Tribolium castaneum: one gene and its partner. The protein of the gene in region 2 purifies or fractionates together with the protein of the main gene of each other region. This does not show direct contact. Links are inferred from orthologs where the notes say so. Each region holds a gene or a part of one and is shown on either strand. Other genes may lie near its edges. The genes, in order: p23 and PpD3.

Evidence for each region.
Region 1: the proteins of PpD3 (region 2) and p23 purify together in Homo sapiens (affinity purification with mass spectrometry; 5 studies listed by BioGRID and IntAct, with this or other methods). This does not show direct contact. The link is inferred for Tribolium castaneum from reciprocal best matches to the Homo sapiens genes PPP5C and PTGES3.

The regions. Positions count from the first base shown.
Region 1 is NC_087398.1:11,207,677-11,215,847, forward strand, and holds the start of p23 (prostaglandin E synthase 3), read right to left. Parts: upstream 4,436-8,171; coding exon 4,191-4,435; intron 1-4,190. Other genes in the region: Nost (nostrin), read left to right, coding at 4,542-4,771, 7,897-8,171. UniProt on the Homo sapiens protein: Cytosolic prostaglandin synthase that catalyzes the oxidoreduction of prostaglandin endoperoxide H2 (PGH2) to prostaglandin E2 (PGE2).
Region 2 is NC_087396.1:11,942,975-11,951,058, forward strand, and holds PpD3 (serine/threonine-protein phosphatase 5), read right to left. Parts: upstream 4,507-8,084; 5' UTR 4,406-4,506; coding exon 4,312-4,405; intron 4,146-4,311; coding exon 3,904-4,145; intron 3,855-3,903; coding exon 3,707-3,854; intron 3,660-3,706; coding exon 3,538-3,659; intron 3,491-3,537; coding exon 3,220-3,490; intron 3,170-3,219; coding exon 3,027-3,169; intron 2,693-3,026; coding exon 2,385-2,692; intron 2,340-2,384; coding exon 2,258-2,339; intron 2,208-2,257; coding exon 2,148-2,207; 3' UTR 1,942-2,147; downstream 1-1,941. Other genes in the region: claspin, read right to left, coding at 1-282, 332-823, 881-1,104, 1,152-1,289, 1,337-1,747; Gnpat (dihydroxyacetone phosphate acyltransferase), read right to left, coding at 4,644-4,720, 4,770-4,831, 4,879-5,048, 5,096-5,257, 5,437-5,516, 5,597-6,586, 7,570-7,699, 7,749-7,925 and 1 more. UniProt on the Homo sapiens protein: Serine/threonine-protein phosphatase that dephosphorylates a myriad of proteins involved in different signaling pathways including the kinases CSNK1E, ASK1/MAP3K5, PRKDC and RAF1, the nuclear receptors NR3C1, PPARG, ESR1 and ESR2, SMAD proteins and TAU/MAPT.

The DNA of each region.
Region 1 (8,171 bases), on a different chromosome or scaffold from region 2:
TTAATCCGGAGCGTAATTATAACCGATTCCGCAATAATAGCACGATGTGAGGTTGTTGTTGCTCGAAAGGTTACAAGAACGGTATGGAATCAAATAATTGGGAAACCGACAATTCCCCCGTTTTAAAAAATCGTAAAAATTACAAAGTGGAGCAAAATTATTAGAGAAATTGCATTAGTTTGACTTGTATGATTTATTTGGCATTGCAAATTAATCGATTTCTATTAGAAATTACAAGACTAAAAGTTCAACTATTCACCTGAAAGGACGTTAGAAGGTAGGTGGTTTATTCGGTTCCTGCTTCCAGCTGATACTTTGTTACCCATAAAAACTGATATTGTACTCAAACCACAATAGCTCAGCTAACTCTTTGTATAATTACAATCCATAATAACCGACTTTATTACGGCCGCTGAACACATGTTCTGATACTTGTGCAGCACAGGAGGAACTTGATACGATGTGCGTCAGTAACTCTTCTTTCTGCTCTTGTGGCTTAATGCATATCCTGTTACTCATCTTGCGGTGTTATGTTATAATGTAGGCAGTGTTGTCGGCAAAAAAAAGAACTTACCAGCTCATAGCGCAAGAAGTTGCCAGACCAATTAAACCTATTTTCATCAAATTTAATATAAATCTATCCAATAGTGTTTAGCTTGAAAAAGACAAAAATACCACCATTTTTTTACTAATTTGGTGGTTTATCTCGACTTGTTTTTAACGTAATTTTGTGGAAAATATCTCGAATTGTTTGACTTTTAATTTTTCAGTCTGTTTAGAATTCCACAAAAAATGAGAATGGACTTTAAAAACGATGTTATGCTTGAAAATAACACAATTTTGGAGTTCCTCTGGCTATTTTTTAACCGAATGGAGATAATATCAATTTTGATTTACTTGTGTAATTTTTAAGCGTAATTTAACACAACTCTGGTCTTTGCTCCAAAAACGAACCGATTTGAGTGAAACATGCCAAAAGTAAAAGAATTTCAATTTCGAACTAATTTATTTGTCATTCAATATTAGCAAAATTTTCGATAAAATTCAATGTTACGGCTCATTTTTAATGGAAATAGTAAAGTTAAAAAAAGAAAAAGTTATATAATTTTCGATTTTGATAAGGTATATGATTTTTTAGCCTAAAAAACCTGAGAATTTAGTTCAAAAAACGTGCTTAAAAGCTCGTTAAAAAAATTAAAAATACTTAACACCATTTTCGATTTAGCATCCATCCATCGTCTTTTATTCTTTAACTAAATGTGTTGTTCAAAAATGTGTTTAAACAGACAAAAAATTTCGAGAAAGGGTAAATTTTTATTTTAAAAATTAAATTAAATACTCAAAAAATGCGAAAATTTTACAATTTTTTGAAGCATTTTGTATATTTTTAAATGAAATTTTGTGTTTTAGAATGAACTATTTGGAAAATATAGTTAACAACATCAATTCGTTTCGCTATTTTTGGGCATTTGTACTAATAAAATATTCCAAAACATCTTTTTCGGTTTACAAATGAACTAAATCGAGAGTAACAAACTCTAATTTCGATTCAATTAGATGTTTTTTTAACCCATTTCCGCAAAAAAGCCAAAATTAGCACAATGAACTTAATTTTCAGATTAAGGGCCGGCTTTGTTTAAACTTAATTCGTTGTTAAAAGTTAACAGCACGAATGGACCAATCAAATTAGTTCAATTTAGTCACGTGATCCGTTAATCACATATTTAATTTCGAATTAAATTAATGACACTTCGATAAACCAGTCTTAAGTCTTTGCTTTAAAGTCCAGCGATACAAGCTAAAAGAACCTCAATTTCGACCTAAGTTTACGATTTTTTACCCAGTTCAGGCAAAATTTTCGAAAATAATAAAATTTTTCAGTTTGTTTTTAATGAAATTTCGCAAAATAATTGCGTATCAGGCTGTAAAATGTGGTAAAGTATATGCTTGGAAAGAACAAAATTATTATAATTTTTTACTTAGTTATGTGATTTTTCAGTCTCACAAAAAACATAGTCATTTTTTGAATTGCTTGAAGTTTGAAAAGGGTAAAATAACACCTTTTTCAAGTCGATTTAGTATTTTATTAGATTAATTTCGAAAAAAAACTTAATTTTTATTTCAAAAAAAGTGCTCAAATACTTGAAAAATGCAAAACTTATACAATTTTTGGCCGAATTTTATCTATTTTTTAAAATAATTTTGCTAAATAATTGAGTTTTTGGTTGAAGAACGTGACAATAAATTAGTTAACATCATTGTTTCGTTGTTTCTAAATATTATATGTTCAGACAAGGTCTTCCAAAATATGATTTTCGGTTCAAAAATAGACTAAATCGAGAGTAGCATATTCTAGTTTTAATTCAACTTGATATTTTTTAGTTTTTTTATCAGGTTTCAACAGAAAACAAATTTTTTTTTGTATAATTTGGTGGATTTCCAACTTGTTTTTAATAAAATTTTGCGAATAATTGCGTTTAATTGATTTTCCGGAGTGGTCTAATAAATTAATCAATTATTATCTAATTAAATTTATCTAACTATGTTTTTGAGAAACGCAAAAAATTCTTACGTCATTTGAACTTAATTTACTATTTGTGTAGTACATAGTTATAATATTGCATAATCTAGTTTGTTAATATTTATACAGTGTGAGTCTATTAAAAGTATATTTATTACTATTATCTAGAACTAATAAATCGCCCAGAATTCTAAATGCTGTTCAGTTTTTTGTCATTTTCTTTATGCCTGTGAATTTTTCCAGAATTTTTCTACAATTTCTAATAAATAAAATTAATTAATTACTTTTAAATAGCTGCAAAAAATTGTTATAAATATCTGTAAAAAAGTATTGCTAGTCCCAAAATAGTTATTTATTTACCGAGTTTGAGTGTAAATCGGATTTTTAAACGTCGAATGACAACGAGGGGTTTATTATCCACGAGGTAAATTAAATGAACCGATTTACATGAAAACGAGTTGAATACAACATTTTAATCTTCGAATTAAACTCAACAAAGCTTAGGGCCGGTTTATAGAAAGCTTCGTTAAAATTTAATTCGCTGTTAAAAGTCAACAACGCAAATGGACCAATCAGATTTGCTCAATTTGGTCACGTGATCCGTTAATCACGCAATTAATTGCGAATTAAATTAATGACGTTTCTATAAACCGATCCTTAAAATTGCTTAAATTTGTTAAAAATAATCTCATGTTTCGTAGTGAGAAATGTCAAACAGTTGTCAAAACTTTCTTACACAGAAAAAAAACTGTAAATTTTGGCACTGTTGAAGAATAAAATAATTACTTTCGGTTTACTTTCATAAAAACCATTGTGGTGCAAATGACTAACCTGTTACCATGACAACCCATATGAAAGTTAATGCCCAGAGTACGCTATTTGCACCACAATGGTTTTTATTGAAGTGAATCGAATGTAAGTAAAAATTAGAAATTCAAATAAACGAAATTTTGCTTTTTTTCGAGAACATCGTTTAACCACCGTATTGTTTTAAGGTAACACAAGAAATCATAAATTACCGATTAATTAATATCCTTAATTAATCAATTTTAATTAAAGGAAGGGTAGAAACATTCTGAAAAAAAATACATAGATTGAAGTATTGTGAAAGATAATTAACAAATGAGTTAATTACTTACAATATTTTTTCAATGACCGTAAAGTTTTATTCTGGCAACAAAATTGTCAAATAATCAGTGATCAAATAATCACCATCTGTGACCACCTTTTACAGTTTGAAAAAACCAGCGTTTTGTCCAGATTAGCATCGAAATCACCAGATCTGACTGTACTAGAGCAGAGAAAAACGAAAAGATTAATTTTTTTCCGTCTTTTATTCTGTATTTCTGCACTTTCTTTAATTCATTCTATTTGAACTTGGATACGGCGCAAAAATGCAAACATTTCAATTAGCTAATTGAATTACCCCGTTAGTTATCTGTCCCAATTAGTTCAGTTAATTAAAATAGCGACCTCATTACGACCAAACTGATTTACTGAATCATTTTACAATATTTGCGTTATCAAAATATTTGCCAACATTTCTGATGGCAAAGTCGTGTAAAGAATGTGGAAAACTTTCATTTTTGCATACGTTTCCGAGTCATTTGAAACGAATTAACTCGCGTCAACAAATCAGTTTAATGTCGTCGAAAAGAGCGGTTCTCACGTGGTCTGATGGGCATCAATACATCCGTCTAAGCCACACACACATGTGATAATTATAGCACCACAGACTAATATAGTGAGGTCTTGCTCCGCGTTGGCCCTGCGGTAGTTCTGAATGAAGCGCGAGTGCGAAAAGTGAAAAATGTGAACTTTCGAGTGTTGTGTTATGTCACCGTCATATGATAGCAAGCACAATATGCGACCTTCCCAATAATTTACCTTTAACAGTTTCATCGACGTCAACATTTTCCTTCCTTATCTAACCGTACACACAACCTAATTAGCGTTTATCCTGCTTTTTTCACAAATGAGTGTCAGTAAGTAGCAGCAATTGAGTGCGACGCGAGCGAAAATGAAAAAAATCTGCAATAAAATAACGAAACAGCAGTGGAGAATCACCGTTCCGAATATCAACTCGAAAAAAGCCGCTACCGAGCGAAAATCGGGCTCTTACGACTTGGAAGCGGCCCAAAAGGAATACGACCGCACTAGAACTGTGCCAAACAGTGTTTTTGTAAACAGTGATAGTGATAGTGACACCGACGACGAAAAATTCCAAGACGCAATGGAAAATGGTACAAGGTGTGTTTTAATGATTTTCATCTAGTCACTGAATTTGTCGTTACAAATAGAACTAATGACAGACATCAAAAATTACCATCTTCCATTTATTAAGTCTCCAATAAATTCGCAAATGAGTGTAACGAAATTTTTGAATATTGTAATAAACTGGCAATTTATCAACAGCCCCAAAATTTCCTAAATTTTGAAATTAATTTTGTTGGTACAAAAAGTGCGAAGTAGAAAAAATACTGTATGATATCTTGTTTATAAGGCATTTTGTCGTTGCGCTCGTCGTGCTCTAAATTCGTGCGTGCGACAAAATGTGGCTTATAAAACTTGTATCATAATATACTATTATGGCTTTAAAAATTATTTTTTCTTCCTTATTTGACAAAATAAAAAAACAAGTTGCTACTATAGGCAACTCCCAATCAAAAGCAGGTAATATTACGTCCGGTGTTCCACAAGGCTCAACTTTTGAACCGCTTCTATTTTTAATATACAGTAGGTGACCCAGGGGTGTGTAATCGGTCTTTAACTTTTTTGGGAATTGAACTATTGCTATGCTGTTTTTATTTATCCAAGAGATCGACTTAAAATCCACAAACTAAAAATATTTTTTTTATACACAGGGTGTTGTATACCAAAGTTATATTTTTTTAAATGGAACACCCTATATATTTTCGCATAATTGGAATCTACGCAAAGAAATAATGTAACTTTATATAAACTATTATGGGTCTATCTTTTTTCTTTTGGAATGATTCAGTTTTTCGTTATAAGAGAGACCAATTTTTGAAAAATCACTTCAAAATCGCCTATGAATATTTTCCTGAAAATTTGCAACAGGAAAATTCAGAATACCTTGTAGTCTTAGCAAATAGACGACTTTTAGTTAAAGCTCGTATATAATATGTAGCGTGTGCCAAAACATAAAAAGTAGAATAACTCATTTTTTTCACATGGAACACCTTGTATTTCTTTACACGTATCGATAACGTTTTTCATATACTTTTATATTACAATATATATTATATATTATATATTATATATTATATATTATATATTATATATGTTTATTTATTTTTCGTATAGAATAAGGTACTCAAAATTGGGAATAAACAAATAGGTGTCTTCAGTAACGTAAAAAATCTTGGAGTTGTAATGATAATGGATTCGGAATTGCGATTTAGAGAATATGTAAATTAGATTGTACTCATAAAAGGTCTTAAATTGCGTTAAAAATCATTGGTGCTTTCCAACAAACTATGGTTTTACTATTTATTATTCATGTTTAGATTATTATCGATCCAAATATCAGTTACAAAAAATATAAAAATCGTGTTCTCGTTTTATTCATAAATAAACAAAATTTGACCATATTCCGCAAAAAATAAAAGAACTTTGGTTGGCTGCCAGTAGACCAAATATTACATGTCCCAGCAAAAAGAAAATGTCCATTTTATTCGTCAATTTTGCAGAATATATTTTTTTAGCTTACTTTAGTCATTGGAATAAAAAAATGCAGAGGTTTCTTGCAAGTTGAATAACTTACAAATTTTAAATGGAAAACCCTATTTTTTTAATTTTGAATCTAAAAGACCTTTAACAATTAAATGTCTGAAGGGGTTTATGAAAAAATGTCTACTTGCACGTCCAAATCATATATTAAAATTGAAACATGTTTCAAGGAAAAATCCTCATCATTAGTCTAAAGAGAAGTACAGAAAAAAACACAGGATTAAAACAAGGAATATACAAAAACTAAAAACTTACCAAAAAAATTGCAATTGTACAATTAGAGAAATCTTTGAATAGAATATTACTTGTTAATTTCACTTTTCTGTTTTAATGTGAAATTTTATAATTATTAGACTCATCTTCAATTCAAATTAATTAAATGTCTCTTGCTGATAATACTTAACTTTAAACATTAAAAAAATATTAACTATTATTTCAGTAGTCAAAAAGTGAAGTTTTTAGCAAATAATTGTGAAACATAAATTTATGGTTGTAATAAATAGTAATAGGGTTTCGACCCTGTTTTAAGGTCATCTTCAGGGGGCTTAAAATAGGCTTAAATAGCCTCCCTGAAGATGACCTTAAAATAGGGTCGAAACCCGGGTTAGAATAATAATCACTAATCGTGTGGTGTAAATTTATTATTATTTTATTATAACCCTAAATAACTTTAGTATTACCCTTAGGCCATTATTCCTCATTTGTTGCAGTGAACCCCGCAGTTAATTAACGAAAACCCCGTGTAAACTCCAATGTTAAAATTAACTATTAATGTCAAATATCTTTTTAGTTATTAACTTTTGGCATTTGAAACTTCATGTTTTTAGATCGACAATTTAATAATATATGAGATGTTCTATTTAACGTTTTCAAGTTATTCAACTTTCAAGAAACTTCTTCATTTTTATGTTCCTAATCGAAATGCGCTAAACAGTTACAGATTTATGTCAGAAATTTCCCTTTTAAAGTGATGAAAATCCCATATCTTTAGGATTCTTAGTTTTTGTGATATGAATTAAAAAGAGTGTATTTAAGTCAAAAAAACATTAAATTATTTCAAAAACTATGCAGAATTGTTCAATACACAATTAGATCGAAATCATCAGTACTAAAAGCTACTTCTAAAAATGCAAAAAAATTAGTATGTTGCATTTAAAAAAATATAAGTTTGAATTGTAGCTCATTTTTGAAACAGGGGGTTAGTATCTTTTTTATAAAAAAATATTTATTTTTAAATTATTTAAGTGACTTTACCAATTCGCAGAGACTCCTTGTATAATTCTTATATTTTGTCAGTGTTTTCTATAAAATGTTTGTTACTACTTTACCACCCTATCTCCGTAAACTATGCATTTCAGTCAAGAAAAATTGCCATCAAGTTTCTGTGCGTATTTTTCGAGTTTTCAGTAAAATAAAAGCATATATTTCTAATTTTTGGTTTTTCACAAAATTCTCATTTTCTTCTTCATTTATTTTGTGATTTTTTTCTTCAGTAGTTTTTCTATTCAATTCGTTTATTTATTACTTGTTGTATTTACAACTCTAATAAAGACGGCTTATTATTATTATCTAAACCACTTTCAAAGTTGACTAGATGAAAATCATTTTAACACACCTTGTAGTTACCTGAACGAACCAACGGAACCAGTGGAATACGACGTCCCCAAAATCAGCTTCAAATTTCTATCAAAGGGTGAACCCCCCGAAAACGATGTGGTGCTCAAAAGTGAAGTGTGCTTCGAAGTCGCAACCCCTGAACCCTCCCCCGTCAAAAGTGACATCGAAATTTTGCCAGTGGTGGGCATTATCAAGTGCGGAAGTGACCCAAACCTGGTGCTTCGTGACCACGAAGACGACGGTCTTTACAAAATCCCGAGACAATTGGCCAGGTGTCGTC
Region 2 (8,084 bases):
TCAGTCATTTCGAATTCTTCGTCTTCGTCGTCTAAAATATCTTTTTCAGTGTTTCCATCCTCATCTTCTAGTTTTTTCTCAGAGACAAGAATATCGCCTTGGTCTTGTTTTTGTTTCCACATTTCTAGTCGTTTTTGGGCCATTTGTACTTGTAATTCTTCTCTCAGTCTCTGTAATTTTGCGCCAGGTGTTTCAACTAACGGAGGCTCCTCTTCATCATCATCCACATTCATTGAAACCGTTTCTTTGATTATTTCACCTCCTTTTCCGACCCCAAGAACACTAAACAAGGAAAGTAATAATTTAAGTTAAAATAATGCAAGAAACGTACTCTAAATGAACTTTGTGCTTGTGTGAAACTTTTTTCGCGGTGTGTTGGAAATATTTTTCTACTAATTTTTTGACTTCGTTAGGTTTTGTAACACCTGCTTCTAAATCAATTATATCATCAGGAGTTCCTGATAATTTAGGCTGGAGATTAAGTTTGTCTCTCAATAACTCCAAAGTGTTGGCTTTTTTGGGAATTTCTTCAATTTCTTTCGGCACCTCGGAATTCTCTTCATTATGTGAACATTCCATTGGATCCTCCTGGTCAAATAAATCCGAAGAATAATTCTTATCTTGATCTTGAACCTTTTTTTCACCATTTTCTTCAACAAGCAATTGCCTCATTTTACTTTCAACCGAGTCTACAGCTTTATCAACCAAGAAATCAAGCCAGCTTCTAACTTCCCGTGCTGTTTCTTTCGTATCATCGTCTTCTTCTTCACTCTCAGACTTGTAGAACTCTTCAACTTCCTTGATTCTTTCATCTAATTTTTTTCTGTAAAGTAATGAGCAGTGAATTTTTTTTGACGTTTTTTTTTTTGAGGGAACTTACGAAACTTCCTCCAACTGATCCTTGCTCATTTTTATGGCCACAGAAGGGGGCGCCTTGGGAATGAGCGGCAAGGCGGAAGCCAGCTTGGCCCTTTTTTGCAAAAATTCTTTAATAGTGTAAGATTTTGGCTTGTGATAAGGCAAACTAACGTTAGATTCGCGCAACATTCGTTGAGATTCGGACTGAATTTCAATTTTTTGTTTGGCAGCTTCTTGTGGCGTCATCTAAAAGCGTTAGAACTTAACAATGTTTATACATTTATAAGACGTACTCTTTTAGGTTTGTCCGCATTTTTTCTTGATTTTCTGTAAACTGTAGGTGGCAATTCTGTTTCGTCCACATCTTCAAAGGTAGTTTGGACTCTTTCGTCCTCTGAGCTTTCAGAATCATATAAAGAATAACGCGATTTCTGAAACAATTATTTTAAATAATTAGGCGAACATGTACTAGTACTACTTGGGCGTTCGTGGGACCATTTTCTGGGACCAATTTGCCTTTGCTGTTGGTAGTGTAAATTAGGGCCTCAACTGCGGTTGCTTCATCCGGAAAGCTCTTATTGTGAGGCGTAATTTCTTCTTCTTCTATCACCGATTCATTATGGTCTTTTTCTTCGTCTGAGTCGCTGTTTATTCTTGATATTCTTTTTAATTTCTTTTTAGCAACGTCGGAATTAGCAATGGAAGTTTTTTCCTCGTCATCTGAGGGCTCTGCCAATGCTGGGGGCGCCTTCTCGTTCAAATCATTTTCTTCAGCTTCTGAGTCGCTATCAATAACATTGTGCTTTTTTCGTACTTTGTTCACGTTCAGTGTATTCATTTCGTTTTCATCTTCTGAATGTTCACTTAATTTATCTTCTGTTATTTCCATTTTTTAAAGAGAAACATTAACCTAACTTGACACAACAAACTTTTTCGCGCGCTTAGTTTGACACGCAGCTCGCCAACCCAATAAACAGAAATCACCAAGCTTTCTGAGCGCCAGAATTCAAAACTTGTGTGTAGTGGGAACTTTCTGGTCCGCTACATTAGTGCTGATCGTGGTGATTAAATAAAAGACGTGTAAAAAGTGTAGTAGAATTTTTATTGCTATTGTATAAGTCACAATGAAGGAAACTTGGTAATAAATAAATATTTTATTTACTTTAAGTCTAGAGGTATCTTTTCGATTATGATACAAAATTAAATAACAGAAACAATAAAAACTCATTTTAATACAAAAAAATAAAAGTGATGAAATGCCTACGTTAACTACATTAAAAAGGCAGGTACTAGCACATTAAACTTAGTAAAGAGTGTGCGTACGCCATTGGTTTTACGTTTGGATGGGGCTGGAAGAACAAAAATGTAGGTTTTAAATTAAAAAATGTACAACACATACCACTGCTTCATATGTAGTAAACTTAGGCTCCATATCTTTTCCTTTTAATGTAATAAAAGCACCTTGATTACCCATGGTATCACTAAAAAAATAATTAAGAAAAACATTTTTTCGAAAATTAATTTACCAATAGTTAGGAGCGGAAAACACAGTGATACATTTTCCATCATGAGCGACTTCGTATCCGTTATTTTTCACTTCATGACTTCTAATGATGTAATCCAGTTTATTTAATTCCAAAAACCTCTTCGTAACATCTGGTCCAAATTGACATCCAACTCCTCTTTTACTGGGCGCGCGTCCATTCTGAGTCTGAGGGTCTGACCAAAGCAGCTCACACATGGGGCCGTCTTCGGGGGGCTGTCTGTTGCGGTCAATTTTACTAATTTCACTTAAGGTAACATCGTCAGTCGAAAACAGACCGCCATGCATCACCTATAAATTTTTCTCATAGCAATAGTTGCCAGAAATTTCGTCAAATACAAAGCTCCAAAATCGCAAATTTTACCAAAAATGGTTTGAATTTGCCTTATTGGGGTGTTTAAGCTTGTATTTTATTTAAAAACTAAAGGTTATTTTGAAAAATTTCCCTAAAACCATTTGAGAAAAGTCAGAAGCCAATTATTTTGTAAAATTTCGTTAAAAATGAGGCAATAAGATCACCAAATTATGTCTAAAGTTCGGTTATTTAAGCTTATCCTGAGTTATTTCACGAGATTTTTTAAACCAAACCATCGAAATAGTCCAAGTTTTTTTTAATATCACTTACAAGAACTCTTTTATTCAAACAGTGAGCTAGTGGTAACCAGTTGTAAACCTCAGTGAAAAGTTCAGCCATTTGAGCGGTGTATTTAGCCTTGACCTCGCCATCGAAACCATACATTTGGTTCATTGTAGCGCTTTCGTGATTTCCTGTGTAAAGAAAATAAAATAATAATAGTCCAAAAGGTGCGTAATTATACCTCTGGACATGAAAAAGTGATTCGGATACAACAGTTTAAACCCAAAAAGGGTAAAAATACATTCAACAGAAAATGAACCTCTGTCAACAAAGTCTCCATTGAAGAGGTAGGGATTTGTTTCAGACGGTAAACCGTTCAAGTTAAAAATGTTCATAAGGTCGTAGAATTGACCATGGACATCACCACAAACAGTAAACTTATCCTCATCACCAATCTCAACATCAATCAGTGACGGCTGTTTCATAAAATACGCCTTAACATCCAACAAAATCTAAAATAAAAAATTAACACGTCTTGAATCAAAGGGCGAAGTGTTACTTTGTAGGCGTATTTCCTGTGCAGCTTGCCTTGATTCTTGTACAATTCCATTAAATCCTTCATGAATTTTAAAGTCACTTTTCCATCCTCAAGCTCAGGCCCCGTGTACTCGTTCTCTATTGCTGTGAAAACATTCACAAATGTGTTTTCCCCCCAAATAAAAACTTACTCATTGCATCTAAATTAATAGTACTGGCGATATTCTTTTTGGTATCTTCGACCGAAATGGCCTTCTCGAAGGCCAATTTCTTCACTATTTTGTTACACTCCGTATATTTGGACTTGGCGTCTTTGTCATTAGGTCTCACTTTTGTCACCTAGGGCCAATTTAGGGCTACAATGTGCCACAAAGGGGCCGCAACTTACATATTCGTAGTCCTTCAGGGCCTCCTTAAACTTGCCCAAGCTCATGTGGGCCGCCGCCCGCCTGTAAAACCCCTTAACGTAGCCTTTGTCCAGCTCAATTGCCTTCGAAGCATCGGCTAAAGCGTAGCCGAAGCACTCAGTTTTCAAGTAGGCAAAACTGCGATTCCCGTAATAGATCGCAACATTCGGATTTGCTTCGATTGCTTTAGTGTAAAGTTCTATAGCGGCGTTGTAATTTTGTTCTGAAATTGAGGAAAAAAAGTGGGGTTATGTCAAATTCACGCCGGAATTTGCGAAATTCTCGCAGCGAATTCGAGCGGAATCGCGAAATACGGCTAAATGAATTGAGTATGAGGTTGTTATTTTGCAAATCATGTGGGTTTTGAGTAAATAACGAGGGGAACTTACTTTTAAAGTACTCGTTCGCTTCGGCTTTGTAGCGCTCGCCGGCTTCAACTAGTTCGGGGGTAATAACACAGTTTTCTTTAACTTCTGTGTTCATTTTTATTTAATTTTGTACCTTAGTTTTAGAAATTGGATGAAAAAGTCTTTAAAATCCCTTCATTACTTATCAAGGTAAAAAAATAGAGGATTTGTGTTTGCGCTGGAGTTGCCAACATAAACACGCCCGCCATATTCAAACAACTGCCATTACTCAAAACAATTTATTAAAAATCACACCAAAATACTCAATTTTAACACCTTTGGCTTGGTTTTAACATAAAAACAGTCATTAGCTTTTAAAGCTTATTTTTTAAGTGGAGCTGAACACTTTCGAATTTCTCTTGGAGCACCTGTGCCGGAGTCACATATTGCTCTGAAAATATACACACTTAGGGCAAATACACATAAATGGCCAAACTCACCTAATCTATTTTTAATAAATAATACTTTAGTATCATTAATTTCATAAGTAACACTGCCGCTCCTAGAACAATCAATTAATTTCGAAGAAAAAAACAATAAAACCCGTACTTTCTACTTTTTGTCAAAACATTTTGACCCGCAAGCGCATTCAAACAATTGGTAATTGTGTCCAAACTTAAGGAATAAGGATGGATAAATCCTTTACCTTCATTTATCTTTATTTCAATTTCTTCCTGAACTTTGGCCAAAATTGTTTTCTCTTCAATAACACGTGATAACTGTAATAATAGTTTATAAAAAATGCAGCACAAGTTAAGTAATTTACCTCCAAAATAACCGAACACACCACAAAATAAGTAAAAATAAAACAATCAATACAGTTATAAATAATTTCTTCCAACTGTTTATTTTCACCGAGATCATATAATTCTTGGTTTCTGCTCAATAAATTTAAATCGACCGCATGTGCTAACGCTGAAGTGAATTCCTAAAAGAAATAACTCACTGGTGAAGCTGCAATATTAAAAAATAAAACTACAGTGTAACCTCTCTAAGCCGAACAAAGCCAAGAGTTTTAAAAAATAACAAAAACGAGAAATTCAAATGTAGAAAGACAAAGTTCGGATCGTAGAGGTTCCACTGTATCGAAAAGAAAAACCCACACACCATTTTTTCCCTGGTGTTAAAAGTAACAAACTCCTGGGACAACAGAGACCTCAGAAAGTGATAATTCGCAAAAAGTTCATCTGTACAGAAAGAATGCAATTACCCACATGCTATTTAGTGGAAGATTCTAACTACAATTTTAACTCAACTCAAAAATTACCTTGACTTTGGGCCCTTTGGTGTTTTACGATCAGTACTAAGACGGCCAAGTCCACGAAATAATGCAAAGTCGGGTTAATATAAATTTGTAAGAGCATAAACGGAACCGAAAACGTGATTGTCTTTTCTGAGAGTTCGTGAGCTTTCAATTTGGATACATTGACTTTGCCCACAACGATTTCATCCCAGACCAGAGTGACTTTTCCTTCCTCATTAACTCTGACGAAATTGTTGTGGACTTCTAAAGCCTCTAGCACGCATTTTCTTGGGTCATCCATGAAGACGTAAGCTCCGAACTTTTCAATGACTTTTTTCAGCCCCAAAATCTCGTCAATAATCTCATCAACACTCAAAAGATTCCTTCCACTCGTTAAATTATTGTGCAAAACAATGGCCAATAAATTAAACGGTGTTATAATACAATGCTTTTGTTGTTTGTAAACAATCTCATGCGCCAGCGACGGAATTAATTTCTTTTCATAGTCGGTGATTTCTTGCATGTGAATTGGTTGCAAATTATGCAAGGTTCGGTCCAAATCCGGCCCAAAGAACTTCTTCGCTGATATCGGCTCAGCTACATCGAAGTAAATCGAGCCGAATTTTTCCTTAACAATGCTCAACGACTTGAAAAACCCAGACGTCGACTCTTTAGGCTTGGGAATGCCGAGTAACTCAAATGCGAACAATTTTTCCTCCAAAATTCGGTCGTAGCTGATGTTAATTGGCACGAAAAGAACGTCAGGGACTTGGGACAAGAAAAATGCTCGAAGAATCATCAAAATCAGGCCGTATTTTGGCGTGAGCGACTTATTTGTGCGGCTTCTCGTCCCTTCGATAAAAAACTCCAATGGCAAGTCTCCTTTGGTGACAAGCTGGTAAACGTATTGCTTGAAAGTCGTCCAGTATAAATGGTCGTCGTTGTATGAGCGTCGCATGAAAAAGGCTCCAGTGTCGCGCAAGACTGTGCCCATACCCCACATACCGTGAAAATCTGTTACAAAAATATTGCAAATTTGAGGATCGCGGTTAAATTACCGAAGGCTAGTGTTAGGAGGCGACACGTCTATATTTTTTATCAAAAATAATACTACAAAAAATACAAACATTTACCAATTTGTTGTGTAATTTAGTTAAGAATAAAGCATAGAAATAATTACATAAATTAGCTAAAACATAAAAAATAATAAATAATGAGGACGATCCTAAGCAATATAAAAGTAAAACTGGCATTCCCCTATTCTGCAATAAAAAATCATGAATTTGCTAAAATTATTTTTACAGTAATTTGATGTTTTTTTTGTAAATAAGGAATTGCTGGAAGGTCGAATAAAATATAAATTATATAAAAATAAACAAGGGTTGCCATTTGAGATAATAAAAATAAAAAGCCCTAAAGTTTAAAAATTTTGGAAATAAATTGTAAACACCTTGTAATAATTCAGATTTTTCATTAATGTACAGATTATTATTCAAATACTAGAGACATAATGATACTTATAGTTCCATTATCTACAAAGTAAATGCAACATTAGAAATAATTGTATTTAATGCATTTGTCCTTCTCCAATGTATAAAAAAATATTTTTTTAACTATTATGTTGTGTAGTAAAGTTGTGATATCTGATGATTTCTTAGAAATAAAAAACTGCTGTAAGTTACGACTATAGTTACGAACTAGTTACAAAATGGTTATTTTTTGCCAAATTTCACTAAACCGTGCTAAAATAATCACTGAATAGAAAAAAAATATTTTTGCCTTTTTCAGTGATTTATAGCAGTGTTTGTGTTTCTCTGCTAAAAACGCAGATATTTTATTAACAGTGGTTTTTTTGTGAAAAAATCCTAAGACTGGCTGAAAATTATATCACAAAAATTGAGATTACTTCACATGTTCTCTGGTTTAAATTATTAATTTAATGAATTTTTTTGTGGTAATAGGATCTCGTTTCGCCTCCTAGTTCTATAAAATTTTACCCATTCCGGCTGCTATGGCGGGTATCGCCACATCCTCGGTGAAGCACATGAAGGACATAAGAATAAAATCCGCATAACTTCTATGACTAGGTACAAAAATCACAGGACAAGTTCCCATTTGAGATTTCAGCTATCAAAATAATCAGCACTTAACCTTTACTTTCCCTCGCATAACTTACTTGAAGTATTGCGTCTTCGTTCAGGTAAATCCCGGAGCAAATTCTGTTGCAAATTTTCGTAAGGACCACAGCAAGCCATCTCACAACTTTCAACTTCTTGTTGTAGCCAATTTCATCCAAAATATTCCTGACCCGCCCTTCTAGCACTTCTTTGGTAACTTGTTCCTTCTCACTCAGCTTAAATTTCGACGTTACGTTCGCACACCGTTTACAAATCGACTTACTGTGATTAGCAGTTCCTGAATTTTGGGGCTTTTGACGACTTCATCTTTGTGGTATTGGGGTGAGGGCTTTTTGGCTTGTTTGAAGGCAACTTGGGGATTGAGTTGCCTCGAA